Rhinolophus ferrumequinum: one gene and its partner. The protein of the gene in region 2 interacts with the protein of the main gene of each other region in a pairwise test. Links are inferred from orthologs where the notes say so. Each region holds a gene or a part of one and is shown on either strand. Other genes may lie near its edges.

What was found.
Region 1: the proteins of FLII (region 2) and LRRFIP1 interact in binary tests that used the Homo sapiens proteins (3 or more experiments, as listed by UniProt). The link is inferred for Rhinolophus ferrumequinum from reciprocal best matches to the Homo sapiens genes FLII and LRRFIP1.

Annotation. Positions count from the first base shown.
Region 1 is NC_046291.1:2,591,887-2,599,276, forward strand, and holds the start of LRRFIP1 (leucine-rich repeat flightless-interacting protein 1), read right to left. Parts: upstream 3,150-7,390; coding exon 3,120-3,149; intron 1,721-3,119; coding exon 1,682-1,720; intron 1-1,681.
Region 2 is NC_046304.1:607,158-614,890, reverse strand, and holds the start of FLII (protein flightless-1 homolog), read right to left. Parts: upstream 3,118-7,733; 5' UTR 2,757-3,117; coding exon 2,694-2,756; intron 953-2,693; coding exon 842-952; intron 604-841; coding exon 532-603; intron 1-531. Other genes in the region: MIEF2 (mitochondrial dynamics protein MID49), read left to right, coding at 3,305-3,348, 6,065-6,221, 6,378-6,558, 7,038-7,733. UniProt on the Homo sapiens protein: Is a regulator of actin polymerization, required for proper myofibril organization and regulation of the length of sarcomeric thin filaments. It also plays a role in the assembly of cardiomyocyte cell adhesion complexes.

The sequences.
Region 1 (7,390 bases), on a different chromosome or scaffold from region 2:
AGAAATAGACACTTTAACGAGTTCCCCAAGTGAATCTTACACATAGCAACATCGAAAAGCACTGCAACCAGAGAAACCAAAATAAAAAGGGCATTCGTTCACAAATCAGCATTTTCTAAAAGAGAATACATAAGGTACAAGAATAAACATCCTGTCAAAACCAGAGATTATAGGGGTGAGCTGTGACTGGTCCGAAAGTGAAACACCACCATGCAGCACTAGCAGAGGACCAACAAACTTCACACGGGACCATGCAGAAGGCAACTGTTAGCGTTTCTGATTAACAGTGTGAGATTAGTTTTCTACTGAGTCAAAAGACAGCTCACCTGCCAGGGCATCAGAGATGGGAGACAAAATAAGAACGGCAAAATCAAAACTTGTACGGGCGCTACTTGATGCCCTCCATTTAGTTTTAAAACAGAATAAAAGCTGAAAATCAAACTGAAATGCACAAAGTGTCCCTACTATTGCTCACATGTACGTTCTTTCATTCCACCAGAGACTGGCCCTTAAATATAATTTCACTGTGCGTTTAAAATAAAAAGGCTAACGATCTAGAAACATGTTGCTAACGCATTTAATTACTTAGAGGACAGAAGAGTTGCTAAAATGACTGTCGCAGAAATGCCCTCGCCAGCCAGAGCCACTGTGGAAGTGCTCTTTCTGCATGTAATGACCTGTCCCCCCAGGACTCCCTCCCGGTGGCTTAGGCCACACAGGGCTGCGACGCCCTGTCCTAGGCAATTCACTCCACCCTCCATCTCCTGCCCCTCACATGGGGACAGCAGCGCCACCAGGAGGCTCAGGACCAAGGCTGCCATGCAGGCAGATGTATGGCGCTGATCATTGCCCCCTAACGGTAAAAATCCATTTTAAAAACAGGAAATTGCTAAGTAATTTTGAAATGGGAGGGCAGAAATGAAGCACAAAACACTTTCAGAAAAGTTCTTTAAGTGAAGAAGTGTGCTGCGATGGCGTCAGTGCCAGACCGCCCTGGGCCGAGGGCCCTTTCTGCTGAGGAGAAATCTTTCTTCCGTTTAGTGCCATGTACATGTACAGGCCTTCCCCTGGCACGAGGGGCAGAAACTCTCCTGGCACACGGAAGATGGGAAATTCCGAATTTGAATCTAAAACCTCCGTCTTGCTTCTGGAACTGAGAGGTCTCTTTCAAACGGCACTTTGTGGCAAAAGAACCAACCAGGCGGTACATTTAATTTGAACGGATATGGATTAGAAAATAATGGGTTTTCCATCAGATAAAATGACTCGAACATCTTAAAGAAATGGAGAATTGGGGAATTCTGGATCTGTTTTGAGTTCCTTGAAAATAAGACGACACCTTTTCCCTTCTTGGGCTCCATGCTGCTGGCTCAGTGTGGGGCCAATAGCTGGTATTCAAAGACCCCACGGGGGTGGGGCGGCAGCACCCATATCTGGGCTCCAGAGCCCGACCAGGCGGCTCAGAGCTGTGCCCAGGAAGCTGTGGGAGAAGACCACACACTCTGGTGGGCTCACCTCCCTCTGGCCCTCAGTCTCCGGGTAAAGACTGGTACGTGGCATGTGTCTTTCAGACAAAGATGTTGTTGGATTTTTAGACAATGGTATTAATTGAAACACCGCTGGTTATTATCTGTCACACAACACGTTAGGATCACACTGCAAGTCTATCCAACCATCTCACCCAGGCACAGGGACCGCCAGACTGCAAGTCAGGCTGCGACTGTCAAAGTAAGGATGGAAAAGGAAAACAACAGAAAAGAGAGTTGCCAAAATCAGTCAAAAAAAACTAAGTAAATCACAGCAAAAACAAAACAGGCAATATTTAAAATCTTAACAAACTCTCACGTGTATTTGCAACAGGAATTACATTAGAACAATAGCCAGCATAAAATCCAATACATTAAATAAAACCTCCATGGCAAATGTTGCTGTAATTCCTAAAATCTGAAGCAGTCTGAGCAATTTTATTTCCTCCTCTACAAAATACTCAACCTTCTCCTGAGCCTACGTATGCGACAGCTTGATTTCTGGGTCTTACCTCGGATTCTGCAAAGTGAGTGTGGCATGTGTAATGTTTTTGGTTGCATACATCTTCCTTCCTCTGGCGTGAAACGGTGAGGACATGACAGCCGTAGGGTCAAGGAACCTCTTTAGCTGACTTTGGAACTTTCTGGCAAAGTCACTGTGGATCTGCCTTTGGCAGCGCAAGGACCATGATAACAGTCACCCAACAGCACACCAGGGTATCACCTTCAGGGTTTATTGTTACAAATGGCCCCATTACAGCACACTGAATGCCTATACGAGAAGTCTAGGAGTGGTTTATGATTTAATTGTCACCGTGATGAAAACAAACCTCCCGCTCTATGGGGTCATTAAGTAAAATGTGGTGGCTGTCTTGAGGCCTCATTATTACCAGCAGTGACACAGACTTGTAACCGCAAGGCAAATTAAACTGGCACGCCCAGATTCATTTACTGACTTACACACAGTTTCTCTACCGCCCTGCTCAAAGCACACAGTTTTTCAAAGATACCTGTTAATATTTTGGGACTGTTTAAGGAGAAACATGTATTTGGGTTTATCAACCATTAAGCTGACACTGACGAAGAGATTTCACCAAGTGGAAGAAAGGAAGATTTCCTGAAGGTGAGCAGGCAGAGACCTTACAGATCCAATCTGCTCCGATTTTCCTCCAGGCAGCCCACGGCAGCTTTTGAGAAGCTACGCAAAACACCGCTGGATGGTAATTATTTTAACTTGCGGTTATTTTCCCTGAGATTCAAATTTGACTGAGGAGTGTGTGAAATAGGACGTGACTGACAGAATGTGCCTTCACACTCTCCTTCCTCACACCTCAGTCAAGGGGTGGCCGTTTTGTGATGTGGACAAATACATAAAGAAACATTACGACTTCCCCTCTTGGGAGAAGTGCATCGCTTATTAATACTCTGTCTACAACAACAAGGAAACAGCCCAGCACTGATTAGATTTTAAACAAGCATTATGTCCGTTAGATATTGACCCCAAGACTCCAGGGACAACGAAGAAGAAGGACGAAGGCAGGGATGAAAGAGCAAAGCACTCGGACCATCAACCGGACCACGCAGGTTACTGACCCTCAGGCTTCCACGACTACCCACTGACATGCGCTCGTCTTCATCAGAAGCCTAGTGAGAGAAAGGATGAAACAAGCGTGACTGTAACACAGAGAGAAACCGACAGCCGTGGGGCCCCGCCCCTCGGGAGCCTCGGAAAAAGTCTCAGTGGACCTGAGCCGAGGTCCTGGCCGAGGAGCTGTGTCTGTGCATCTCTGTTGACGGAGGGTGTTTTTGGATAATACGGCTTTCAATTAATTTCATTCAAGAGCTGATACACACCCTCGATGCACATTACTCTGCAAAGTATTCATGGGTATTTGATAGCAAAAAACCCACGAAAACTATCAGGAATATATTCATACTCCGAAATTTCTCAAACACTCTCTCCCCCCAGCCAAGTTAGATCAAAATGTTAAAAGCTGAGTCCACAGTCTTTGTTTAGGTACTAATGTCAGTTTTAGTTAACGACTTTAATTAACATCACTGAGATATCCATGCATGTATCATATCTCTATTTCAACCACTAAAAATACAACTTAGATTTCGATCAGAATGAACGCGTACTAACCGATGTGTTTCTCCTCGATCTACGGGAGTAGCGCTCACTGTCTTCCTACCAAAGAATGGAGAAAACAGTATGGAAGGTTAGACAAACAAGGGACACGCCTCAGGCAGTCCCGCTGCGTCACGACACAGTAATATTTCAGACATAAATGTCAAACAAGTATTGTCTTTGCCTAAAGCCTTCACTTACATCACTGGGGAGAAATGCTTTCTTCTAAAGGGGGGTATTTAAGCACACAAATAGTTAGCATATTTCATTTTGCCTTTAAAAACAAGTGTGTGTTGGAGGAGAAGCTGAGTCTTAATTTTTTTCTAAGCGCTGTAGTCTGGTCCATTTAAATCTACCCCTTTCGTTTTTCTTACATTCAGAATCTTTTTCTCCTCGTGAATCAGAAGGCCCAATGGGACAGCACGCTCCCCGCTGTATTTTGTGCCTTCTGCGATGCCCCCAGTTTTTCACATCTGGACATCGCTGAGGCTGGGGTACACCTTATAATCAGAGCTGCCTGCAGTTCTAATCAGCAGTTTTTGCTTTTCTCGGTGGTACAGAAAACAATGACGCACCTTTTAACTGCGTCTTAAGAGGCGATAAAAACTACATGTGCCTGTGCCATGTAAGCCGAAAATGATGGTTTACACACAGTGAAAGTTGAGGTTAATCATGGTTTAGGTGGAGAATGTGTGCTCTGTGTATTCTCAGAACTCTTGTCCTTGATATTTTATACAGGTGAGATGTGAGGAGGCCATTTTATATTTCCTGTATAAGGGCTTATTTTATGTATAAGGGGCATTTATTATAATAGGACAGACATTTCCATACTGGCCAGGTTCTCAAATGCTAAAGGTGTGATGGCCAGAGGCCAGTGACAAGGGCAGGAAGAGGCAGAGTGCACTCAGGTGCATGAATTCATGAGAGAGGGGGCGAAGCCAGGTTCTCTGGACCGTGGGCAGCAAGCAGAATGCTGTCCCTTCTGGAGCCTCACGCCACGGGGCACCATCTCCTCCTGGGGGGTCGTGAGGACAGGGTATCATTAGGGATGAGCCAGCTCTCTACTGACTTAGGAAGGCAGAGAAGCTGTCCTGGGAAAATGGTGAGAAGGCGTTTTCTCACCCAAAGACAATGGCTTCTGTGGGCACAGCAGACGGGGGGTGGGGGGTGGGGTGGGGGGGCACCCAAAGGTGAAGGTGGATAAAGGTCAGCAGGAGGGTGACCGGGCAGGTGGCTGTGATCGTAAATGAAGGAAATGGAGTGTGTGACCTCTGGTGAGATGGGCTGGCAACGGTAGTTCTCATGCTGGGGACACACGCTCCCGGCCACGTGTCCCTAGCGGACAGTGCCCTGCCCCAGGAGGTCAGAGACCTCCACAAACAGCCGCCTGGAGACTCCAGGAGTCAGCTTGTACTGAACAGACCAGACCCAACGCCTGGCCAGGGCCGGTCCAACCAGGCCTCACACAGGAAGTAACCAAACAGGCCAGATGCACAAGTCCCGGAAGAAACCTCTCGGGATTAAATTATGGTGCAACAGGAATCTATCTGTGTAATTAAACTGTGTAAGAATCCAATTATAAACCATGGACGTATCTTAAAATCATATTCAAGGCCTACCATCCACTGCTCGATGTCACCCCATTTTGTGTCCAGCCCATAATATTTCTATAGACAGAAGGGAAAGAAAATTAGGCAACAAGTGAAATGTAATAAGAAACTGTTCTGACATGCATTTCCAAGCTCCTGCCCAAGCCACACGGAGAGGGTGACACGGCAAGACAAAGCAGTAGCAACAGCTCGGGCCCTGCAGGGTCAGTGCTGCCCAGGCGGGGGCCTGGGAACACAAACCCTGCCCATCCCGCTGCCCCCTGGGCAAGCCCGGGGAGCCCAGGACAAAGCACTCATGGGCGAGGGGCGGCCTCCGTAGAGACGAGGCATTTACACAGCCCGGCGGCATTTCGAGCCCTCTGCAAAGGAGTTCACGGCTCCAGCAAGCACACGGCAGGAATGGACCCCGTGCAGGGGAAGCACAAGCTGGGAGTCATTCCCGTGTCACTGCAAAAGGAAAGAGAAAACCTAGAGGAAACGGGGAGCAACTGTGATCACCCCTGGATTTCTGGGGCACTTGCTCCCGCTACCTGATATTGGTGCTAAATTTAGGTCCAGGAGACTTGACAAACTTTGGATGTCTTTACAGCCACTAAGGAAAGGGCGACCGAGTGGCCTACACAGAGGTCTTTGAAGGGAAAAAATTACGTTCGTAAGCTACACTCTGCGTTTTTCTCTAGCTAATGCCTCCATGCCTTTGTCTGACTCGTCCGATCCACAATGGTCCAATTCAGAATGAGACGAGCAGATTCAGAACGGCTATTACTGTTACTAAACATAGTTAATTGCAGAGTCAGGTGGGAACCCAGGTACAGCTCAACTAATGGGGTTCGGGCTTTTCACTTACCTCTCAATTTCCAGGAAGAAAATCAAGGAACAACCAACCAAACCTCCACATCACCTAACAGACGTGATTTCCCTCTTTACACAGTAAAACCTTATAATCAAAAGGAAAAAACTGGATGCTAGAAGTCCAAGACAATTTTGGAAATTGTTTTACCACGACCAAAACATGCTGCCGCTATGTTTGGTGTAGTCTCCGTTTATTTTGAAGGGTGGCCAGATTTAAACTCTGGCTCTCTGATGGTCTTGCCCCTTCTCTTAGAGATGGTGTAAGTAGAAAATTGGAAGAAGAAAAGTGAGGACGGAGAGTTTAATAAGGTTTTAAAAATTCAACCAATACAGACCTATAGTATCAAAAGTATAGGAGCCAATATTTTTTCTGAAAGGTCCTTTCCTTAGAATATAAATTGAGAAAGCAAATAAAAGTAAACCCTTCCCAGTCATGTTTTAACGTCAATTTAAGTGAAATGCAACAGCATAAAGCTATTTTGCATTCAATTAATGTTAGCCCCTCTCACTCAAATTCCAGATAGGCAAAATTTGATGCCATCAACCCTCCTTTATCTCATAGCGTAATTACAAAGTTAGAAAGAAAATGTGGTTTATAAACGGACGAGGGCCTATATACCATCACAAAAAACTGCTTAAATTCCAAAGGAAGTCTCCATTATTGGCTTTTCTATTTTCATATTCTCCTTTTTGCCAATCTTATACCGCTATCAAATGCTGCAATTACCCATTGCTCTTTTTGTGATAAAAATAAGAACCAGTATTCAAAATCTTCCACCTAGTTCACGGGTGGCCTTACCGCTAGCTGTTGTAACTCTAGGTACAATTCCATGTTGGTCCACGCAAGTGCAGTTAACCAGCAGTCCTGATATTACCAGCAGGCCAGCACAGCACACTCCAAAAAGCACACAGTATTTCAAAGGTAAACTACTATGATTAGTGGTGAGTCATGCAAGGGGTTTCAGGGGGAGGGGGCAGAGCCAGACTAATGGAAAAGGTACTTGACTTTCAGAAATAGCTTTGATTCAACAGATGAGAAACCAGCACACAAAACAGCCAGTGGGCTAGGAGAGAACATTTACTGCCTCCTTTTCCTTGTCACAAATCTTAGTGACAAGGAAAGGTTTCCCTGACCCTGGACCCATCCTTATTATAAAAATGGGTATCTGCTTTGCCACTGAGGACTAGTTTTACTTTGTGTGCAAGTTACCATTCTGACAGAGTTCTAACAGTTTATCTTTGGTGAGTTAGTGAAAACAAAGTAACAGTAACCT
Region 2 (7,733 bases):
GGCTCCAGCCATGGACAGGACGACCTTTGCTGAGGCCAGAAGGGTCTGGCCGAGAGCCGGGTGTTCTGGGATGTCAGAGGCTCTGTGAAAAGCAGAAGGGTGAGCAGGCACCCTGACTACCTCCCCTCCCGGCTAAACCCCATCCTACACCAGCTCTGCCAATGTGTGGCTGTGTGACCTCCGGCAAGTGACCTGCCTCTGCGGCCAAGTGTCCTCATCTGTGAAATTGGGAGAAGTCAGGATTGTAAGAAAAAACCCACGTGGAAATAGTCGGAGCAGTGCTTAGCCACTATTAGTTGTTGTTATTGTAGTTGTCCAAAAAGGGTGGGATTTTGGATTTTTTTACGTTTTGCCCCATGGGTTACTTAACACAGGGCATCATTATATCCTCTCCCCTTTAGGGACAGGCCCCTGGGCCTGACACAGGGATAGGCAGAGGTGCTAGTCCAGCTTGGGTCTGGCTCTGTCCTCACACCTCTGGCTGGACTCGAATCCCCACCTCCAAGCATGGTGGCCTCCAGCAGCACTCACCCGAAGCGATGGCAGACTGGACAGCTCCCCATGAAGCGTGGTCAGGTGGTTGTGGCTCACAGACAAGTGCTCCTGGGCCAGGACAAGGGAGCAGAGGCTCAGCGGAGGCCCCATCTGCCACCACAGTCTTGCACCATCCGGGGTGGCCCTCAGCCACACATGGCGCAGTCCACCCGTGCAGCCTCCCTCCCTCTCTGCCAGCTCTACTCGTGGTTATCAGCATCTTCCTCCGCGGCTTTCTGCACAGGCTCCGCCCACCTGGCCCAGCCCCACCCACAGGGACCCACCCTGCCTGCTGAAAGCCCCTTACCAGTTTCTGCAGAGCAGCCAATTCCTCTGGCAGGTAGCAGAGGCCAGTGCGGTTCAGCTTCAGCCATCGCAGACTGGTCATGGCCTTGACATTCTCAGGGAAGTAGCCTCCCTGGGGGGTATGCCATGGTGAGGCTGGTCTGGGACAGGAACGTCCCTGCTCTACCACCCTCTATCGTCCCCAACTGCCCATGGAAGCCTTTGGGGAGCAACAGAGCCAACTCTCACCAGCTGTGTGACCCTGGACAAATCATTTTGCCACTCTGTGCCTCCATTTCCTCATCCATAAAATAGGGCTAATAAAAGCCCTCTGAGGACAAAAGTGTTGTGAGGACCAAGTAGTTATCAGCATGGCTGTTGGCCTAAGATCTGTCTCTCTTGCTGGATTCTGAGTCCCAGGAGGGTCGGGATGAAACTGGCTTGTTCCAGGTAACACCTCCAGTGTCCAGCTGTGTGGCTCACATGCCTTTGCCCAGCATTCCAGGCTCTGCCTGGGCCACCAGAAGTGAGGGTACCCCCTGAGGCTGTGCCAAGGTCCCACCTGTGCCCCCACCCTGCCATCAGCATACAAGCCGTTTATGGCAAGGCCCAACCCCCGGTGCAAGGCCCCAGCTCCCCACCCTGCACAGGCACTGCCTTGTTCATTTGTTTACCCATTCATTCCCCACATTCAAATGCCCACCCCAGTACCCCCAGCCCTTGTGGCAGGGAGCCTGGGATAGCATGTGCCTTTAGTGCCCTTGGCTGTGTCCCCTTCCCCCTATAGCCACGTTCCCCGCCAGTGACTCAGACTCCGCGTCTGAAGAGGACACAAGGAGACCCCAGGTGAGATTAGTGCGAATGGAGGCATTGAAAGTGGTGTGGCCACCGGTGCATGGGGTCAAAGGTGTGTGCACATGTGGGTAAGTGCAGGAAGAACCAGCCTCCCCTCAGTCCTGGCCCCACGACCCCAGCCGAAGCCTGGGCTCCCTTACGCTAAACTGACTCGGGCCTGAGTCTGCCCACTCACCCACCCTGCAGCAGGGGCTGCCCCTCTTGGTACTACTCCAGGCAGCTCTCACCTCCACTCTTGCCCTGACTCCTCTGGTCACCGGCACTGCTCACCTCATCCTTGCCTCTAGAGCCACCTCGCCCACTAACTGGCTGGAAGGCTGGGCTCAGGCTCCTTGTGGCCCTGGTCTTGTCAGTCCATAAGCTGCTCAAACAACGGCTACCCAGGGCCTCGCACAAATGTCTGACACACTCTCCACACCAACTAATCCATGCTTCCAAGAGGACTACTTTTAAGCCCCTTTACTGGATGAGAAGACCGAGGCTGTGAGACAGGAAGTGATTTGCCCAAGACCACACAGGACGGGTATGGCGGTGGCAGGGACAAAGCAGTGGCCGTGAAGAGTTCCAGACCCGCCCGGGGACAGCCCAACAACCTGCAGCGCGACAGTGAGTCAGGGCCTGGCTTGGGCGTGTGACCTCAGCGGGACGGGGAAGGGGGGCTGGGGAGGTGGGAGCAGAGCTCAACGACCCCGCTCCACTCTCCGGCCCCGGCGGGGCCCAGATGCCAGGACGATGACACGGGGTGGGGGCTCTCAGCCCATCCCTAGCGTGACTCCGAACCCAAGCGTCCACGCCGGCCCGACCCGGCCTCGGTCTTCCCGTAAGGGCACCGAAAGGAGATCTTGGGGATCCGTTCCGGGCGGGGAACCCGAGCCCCGGGAGAGCCCCACCCGGCCCCGCCCGCAGTCCCGAGCGGTACTGGGCCCGGGGGCGGACGGGACAGGAAGCAGAGACCGGTGCGGGCTGGAGCGGAAGAGACGGCCTAGAGCGGGGCCCGGCCCGCCGCCGGGTCGCCTCACCTTGAAGTCGTTGCCGCTGAGGTCCACACCGCGCACGAACGGCAGCACTCCAGTGGCCTCCATGGCGCTGCTCTTGCTGCCGGGCCGGGCCAGACGCTGGGGGCGGCTGGGAGAGCCGCGGGCTGGGCCAGCGCCGACCCCGCCCCTTTAACTCGCCCCCGCCCGGGCCGGCGGGAAGGCGGAGTCAGGCCCCACCCCTCTAGCCCCGGCCCCCTCCCCTGGCGTCTTTAGGCCTCCCCGGGCCTCAGTTTCCCTGTCTGTCCGAGTACTGGAGGGACCTCGAGGAGTCCGGGCGTCCCGGTGCTCCCCGCAGGTGGCTTCATAACCTCCAGGCTAAGTCCGTGAGCCCCAGGGCCGGGGCTGTGTCACGGGCGCTGTCCGCTGCACTGCAGCCGCAACTGAAGTTGGCTGTGGCCGGGGAGGTTCTGGACCCAGGTCGGGGGGCGCAGAAGGCCCGGGAGTCTCTGTTCACCCCCTGGGCCCTGTGTGGCTACCAGCGGTAGTGGGACGCAGAGGCCCTAGCGTCCCGGAGCTGTGGGCAAGCCCAGACCTCCTCCTGGCCTGTTTCTCCTCATCTGTGAAGTGCTTCCTAAGGTTGTCGCCAGAAACAAATGAACAAACGCAGCTGCAGCTCACGGCATACAGAAAGCACTCGGTAAGTGGCGCGTTATTTCTGCTTAGAGTCAGCAGCCCCTCACGTCCATTCATTTGCTTGCTCGCTCCCCTTGACCCGCACATAGTCGCTCCCCAATAAACAAATGAACCACAGGTCATATGCACAACCATCCTTCGCAAGGGTGGAGGGGGCCTGGCGTTTCCATTTCACGGGAGAGAAAACTGAGGCTCGGGTGGAGAAGTGGCCGGCACAAGGTCACACGGAGCTGGTGGCAGGGGTAGTTCTGGGTCACGCTGTGTGCCCCGCAGGCCAACAGATAATAACGAGGCCACCAAGGCACTCTCGCAGAAGTGACCTAAAGGGTCAGACCTGCGCGCCTCTGGGCCAAGTGCCGACTGTCTGCCCTGCCCCTAGAAGGAACGGGGGCGCTGATAATTTTCTCCAAACCAGAAGCTCATATTACAATCACACACACGTCACAAGGGGCCCGGAAGGCCAGCCAGCTCATTCCGCAACCCCCGGCTGTGCCACCACACCGCTGGGCGGGAGGCTCGGAACACAACTCTGCGCCTTTAAATCCGGGATGCGTCAGAAAGTCCCACCTCCGCAGAGCGCGGAACGCGGTTAGGGGGCGTGGCCTGGTCACCATTGGCTGAACCGCATAGTATTTTGGAACGAGGGAGCGGGCCTTGAGCACTCCGATTGGGGCTAGGACCTGCTCGTCTGCTTGCGTTCCGGGGTCAGCGACCGCCCCCGGAGCCTTAGCGTTCGGTTCCCAGGTCCTTCCCATTCCATTCCCGGGCGGGTCGGGGTCCGGGGCCCAAGAAGACCCGCTACCTCCGACAGTTGGTGCGCTGAAGCAGCGACGCAGGTACGGCCCGAGCGGGGCGGCCCGGGTCACCCAGCCCCGGCGTGGAGAGTCGGGGGCGGGGCCACCGCTGCGGCCGGCGGTCACCGCCAGAGAAGGAGGGAATGGCTTTGGGCCCTCAGGCTGGAGTTCGAATCCCGTTTCGGGTACATCACTTAGTTTCTCAGGGCCTCGGTGAGGTCCCCTGTGAGCCGGGCCTTGACAGGTCTTCAGGGGCTGCTCCGCGGCCCGCTCAGCCCCCGTCCTGGGTTTGGCGGAGGAGGGGAGGACAAGCGGCATCCCAGGGCTCTACCCCGCCAGGCTGCGCAGTCAGGTTATTTTTAACCCCCGCGCCCTCCTCCCTTTCCTCGAGTGGGCAGGCTGCGTGTTGGGGCCTGCGCGACCCTGCCAGGGTTTGGGCTGAGTCCTAGCTTAGACAGGTGTGGGGTATTGAAAGCACTTTACTGTTTGCAAAGTGGCTTCCCCGTCCCTCTGGAGGCAGGTGGCCATACCGGTCACCTGTGAGAGAACTGACTGCTGTGCTGTAGTGGGCACCCTGCCAGCCTTTCACCAACCCAGGCCCCGGAGCCGGTTTTTATTTTTAGTCTGGGCGAATGGGGGGGCGGGGCGGGTGTTGTCCTGGCATCTCGTAACCTGGCAACAGCCCTAAGTGCCCACAGCCCCAGGCAGGGAGGGTGGAAGTCCTTGGTGCCCTAGCCGGCTCCGAGCTCAGGGTCATCTGCTCAGGTGTCCTCAGTGAGCCAGTGCTGCCTGGTGTCTGACTGGTCGGTCCCCTGAGCGTCCCTCTTGATCACACACTCTCAGCTCCCAGGGCCTGACGGCAGGAGTCCCCCTAGAGGAACCTGCCGCTGGGGCGTGGTGGATGGGGCCGTGGGAGAGGTCTCTGCCTCTGCCTCCCGAGTGCCTGACCCACCCAGCCCCACTGTTCTGGGCTCCTCTCCCTAACCCTGTCTGTGCCACTTTACAGGTGAGCAGATAGCTGAGGCTTCCGGCGCTCAGCTTACCTTCTCTGTTCTTTGGGCTCCGTGCAGCTGAGGGCAGCTCCCCACCTCCCCATTGTCCCAAGCCCAAGAGGCCAAGAGAGGTCCCTGGCCCCTGGGCCCGTCCTCTGCTTGGAGTCTTCGTGTTTACTTTGCCCTCTGTCCCCGCAGCGGGGCCTTTGGCTTTGACCAGCACATGTCCATTGACAGGCAGCTCGTGCGCGCTCCTCCCCCCACAGCCTGGGCCATCTCACTGGATAGCTCTGCCTCTGGCGGCTACCTTGTCAAGATTTGGGGGTGACTGGCCTCACTGAGGTCTGAGACGCGCTCCAGGGCAGGCTGTCTGGGACCCCACGTTGTGGTTTCTCTGGGCCTTGTTTCCTCCTGCTGTGCCAGGGGTGAGGAAGCAGGGTGAGGCAGCCTCTAGGACCTGACCGCAGACGGGGTCTGATGGGACTCGGGGGGTGGGCAAGAGTCTGGAGGCTTGGCGGTCGTGGATCCAAGAACCCACTACTTACGTATGGTTCAGCAGCCCGTTTCTCTGTAAAATTGGGGTGATGGTAAGACCTTCCTCATGAGTCTTTGGTGACATCAGGAGTCCTGGGTGGGAGGGTCAGGGAGATGGGCCCCCTTCTCTGACCTATCCAGGGCCTTTCTGTGTGAGCCCCCCTGTCCAGGGGGTGGGTGGGTTGTTGACAGGTTTGGGGAAGGGGGCTCAGGCAGTTCCCCATCTCCTCACAAGAAACCCCTTGAGTGGCCCCTTTCTTCTGAAACTCGGGAATCCACCTTGTGGGCTTGACTCAGAGACCCCAGCGTGATGGCAGCCAGAGTGCCTACCCACACCTGCCGCACTGCCAGCCTGGCTGCCCCCACACTCAGTGGTCCCTGCACCCTGGCTCTCTTACAGGCAGACAGACATGGTACTGTTCTTCCAGAAGCGGGGGAAGCGGCATGACGACGACGTGCTGGGCAATGCTGTGGACTTCCTCCTGGCCAATGCCCGCCTGGTGCTGGGCGTGGGCGGGGCTGCCGTGCTGGGTATTGCCACCCTGGCTGTGAAGCGGGTAAGGCCTGGGGCTCACAGGGGAGGATGCCAGGGCCGGGGCCTGCCCAGGACTGGCACCTGCTTCTCTACCCAGCAGCCTGCTTTGCTTTGCCCCTGGGCTTTGCCGTGGCTGCCCAGGATTTGGACGCTCTGATCTCTGTCACTCTGCCCGCAGCTGATTGACAGGGCCACCAGCCCTCGGGATGAAGATGACACCAAGGGGGACAGCACATGCCTGGAGGACAGTTGGAAGGAACTGAGCCTGCTCAAGACCGCTCCACGCCTACAGTCCCGGTCCCCACCTGCTGCCCTTAGCCAGCCTGTGCTGCTCCCCGCCCGCTTGCCCTCTGCCCACGGTGAATGGCACCCCTTCCCCGCTGACCGGGGTGGGTCCCCCTTTGGTGGTCACATTCAGGAGATGCAGCCCAGGACCTGCCACTGACTGACTGCTGCAGGCTCCTTGCATGTTTAATGGTTCTGTTTCTCTGCCCTCCAACTACTGAGGCTCCAACTGCTGGGACATGTGGCGGAGGGGGTGGTAGCGGAGCAGGGCAGCAGACTTATGACAGTGGGGGGGCCTCAGATGGGGAAACTGAGGCTCAGGACCTGTCTCCCCACTCTGCATGAAGCTTTTTCGGCCCCAGAGTGTTGGGGTCTGGGCAATGGGAATTTGTCGTCAAAGTGCTCTTTGTACGTGAGGACCAAAGTCCTTTCTCGGGGTCATTTTACAGGTGAGGAAAAAGGCCCAGGGCTGGCACAGTCAGTAACCGGGGTGGAGTTCTCGGCTTGTCCCAGGGCCTGCTGACCGGCTCTCTGGCCTTTCACTCTGCTGCAGGGCCCGCAGACGCTAACCCGCCGCCGCCGCCGCCTCAGCGTGGCCTCCCAGCACCGCTGTGCCTGACGTTCCAGGAGAAGCTGCTGCTGTTCGAGCGGGACCACGTGACCACCGCAATGTCCCACGTGGCTCTGGCCAAACAGTTGGCCGGCGACATTGCCCTGGAGCTCCAGGCCTACTTGCAGAGCAAGTTCCCTGAACTGCCCTTTGGGGCGCTTGTCCCCGGGGGGCCGCTCTATGATGGCCTGCAGGTGGGGGCTTGCTCCGACCATGTGCGCCTCCTGGCACCCCTGATGCTGGAGCCGGGCCTGTGGAGCCTGGTGCCAGGCGTGGACACTGTGGCCAGGGACCCTCGCTGCTGGGCTGTGCGCAGGACACAGCTTGAGTTCCGCCCCCGGGGAAGCAGCCCCTGGGACCGCTTCCTGGTGGGCGGCTACCTCTCTTCCCGCGTCCTGCTGGGGCTGCTCCGCAAGGCACTGACGGCCTCCGTCAACTGGCCAGCGATTGGCAGCCTGCTCGGGTGCCTGATCCTGCCCAGTGTGGCCTCGGAGGAGCTGCTACTCGAGGTGCAGCACGAGCACCTGGAGCTCACCATCGCTGTGCTGCTGGCAGTCCCCGGCGACGCCGAACACTGCCTCCTGGTGGCCTGGCCCCTGGAAGGGCTGGCCGGGAACCTCTGGCTGCAGGATTTGTACC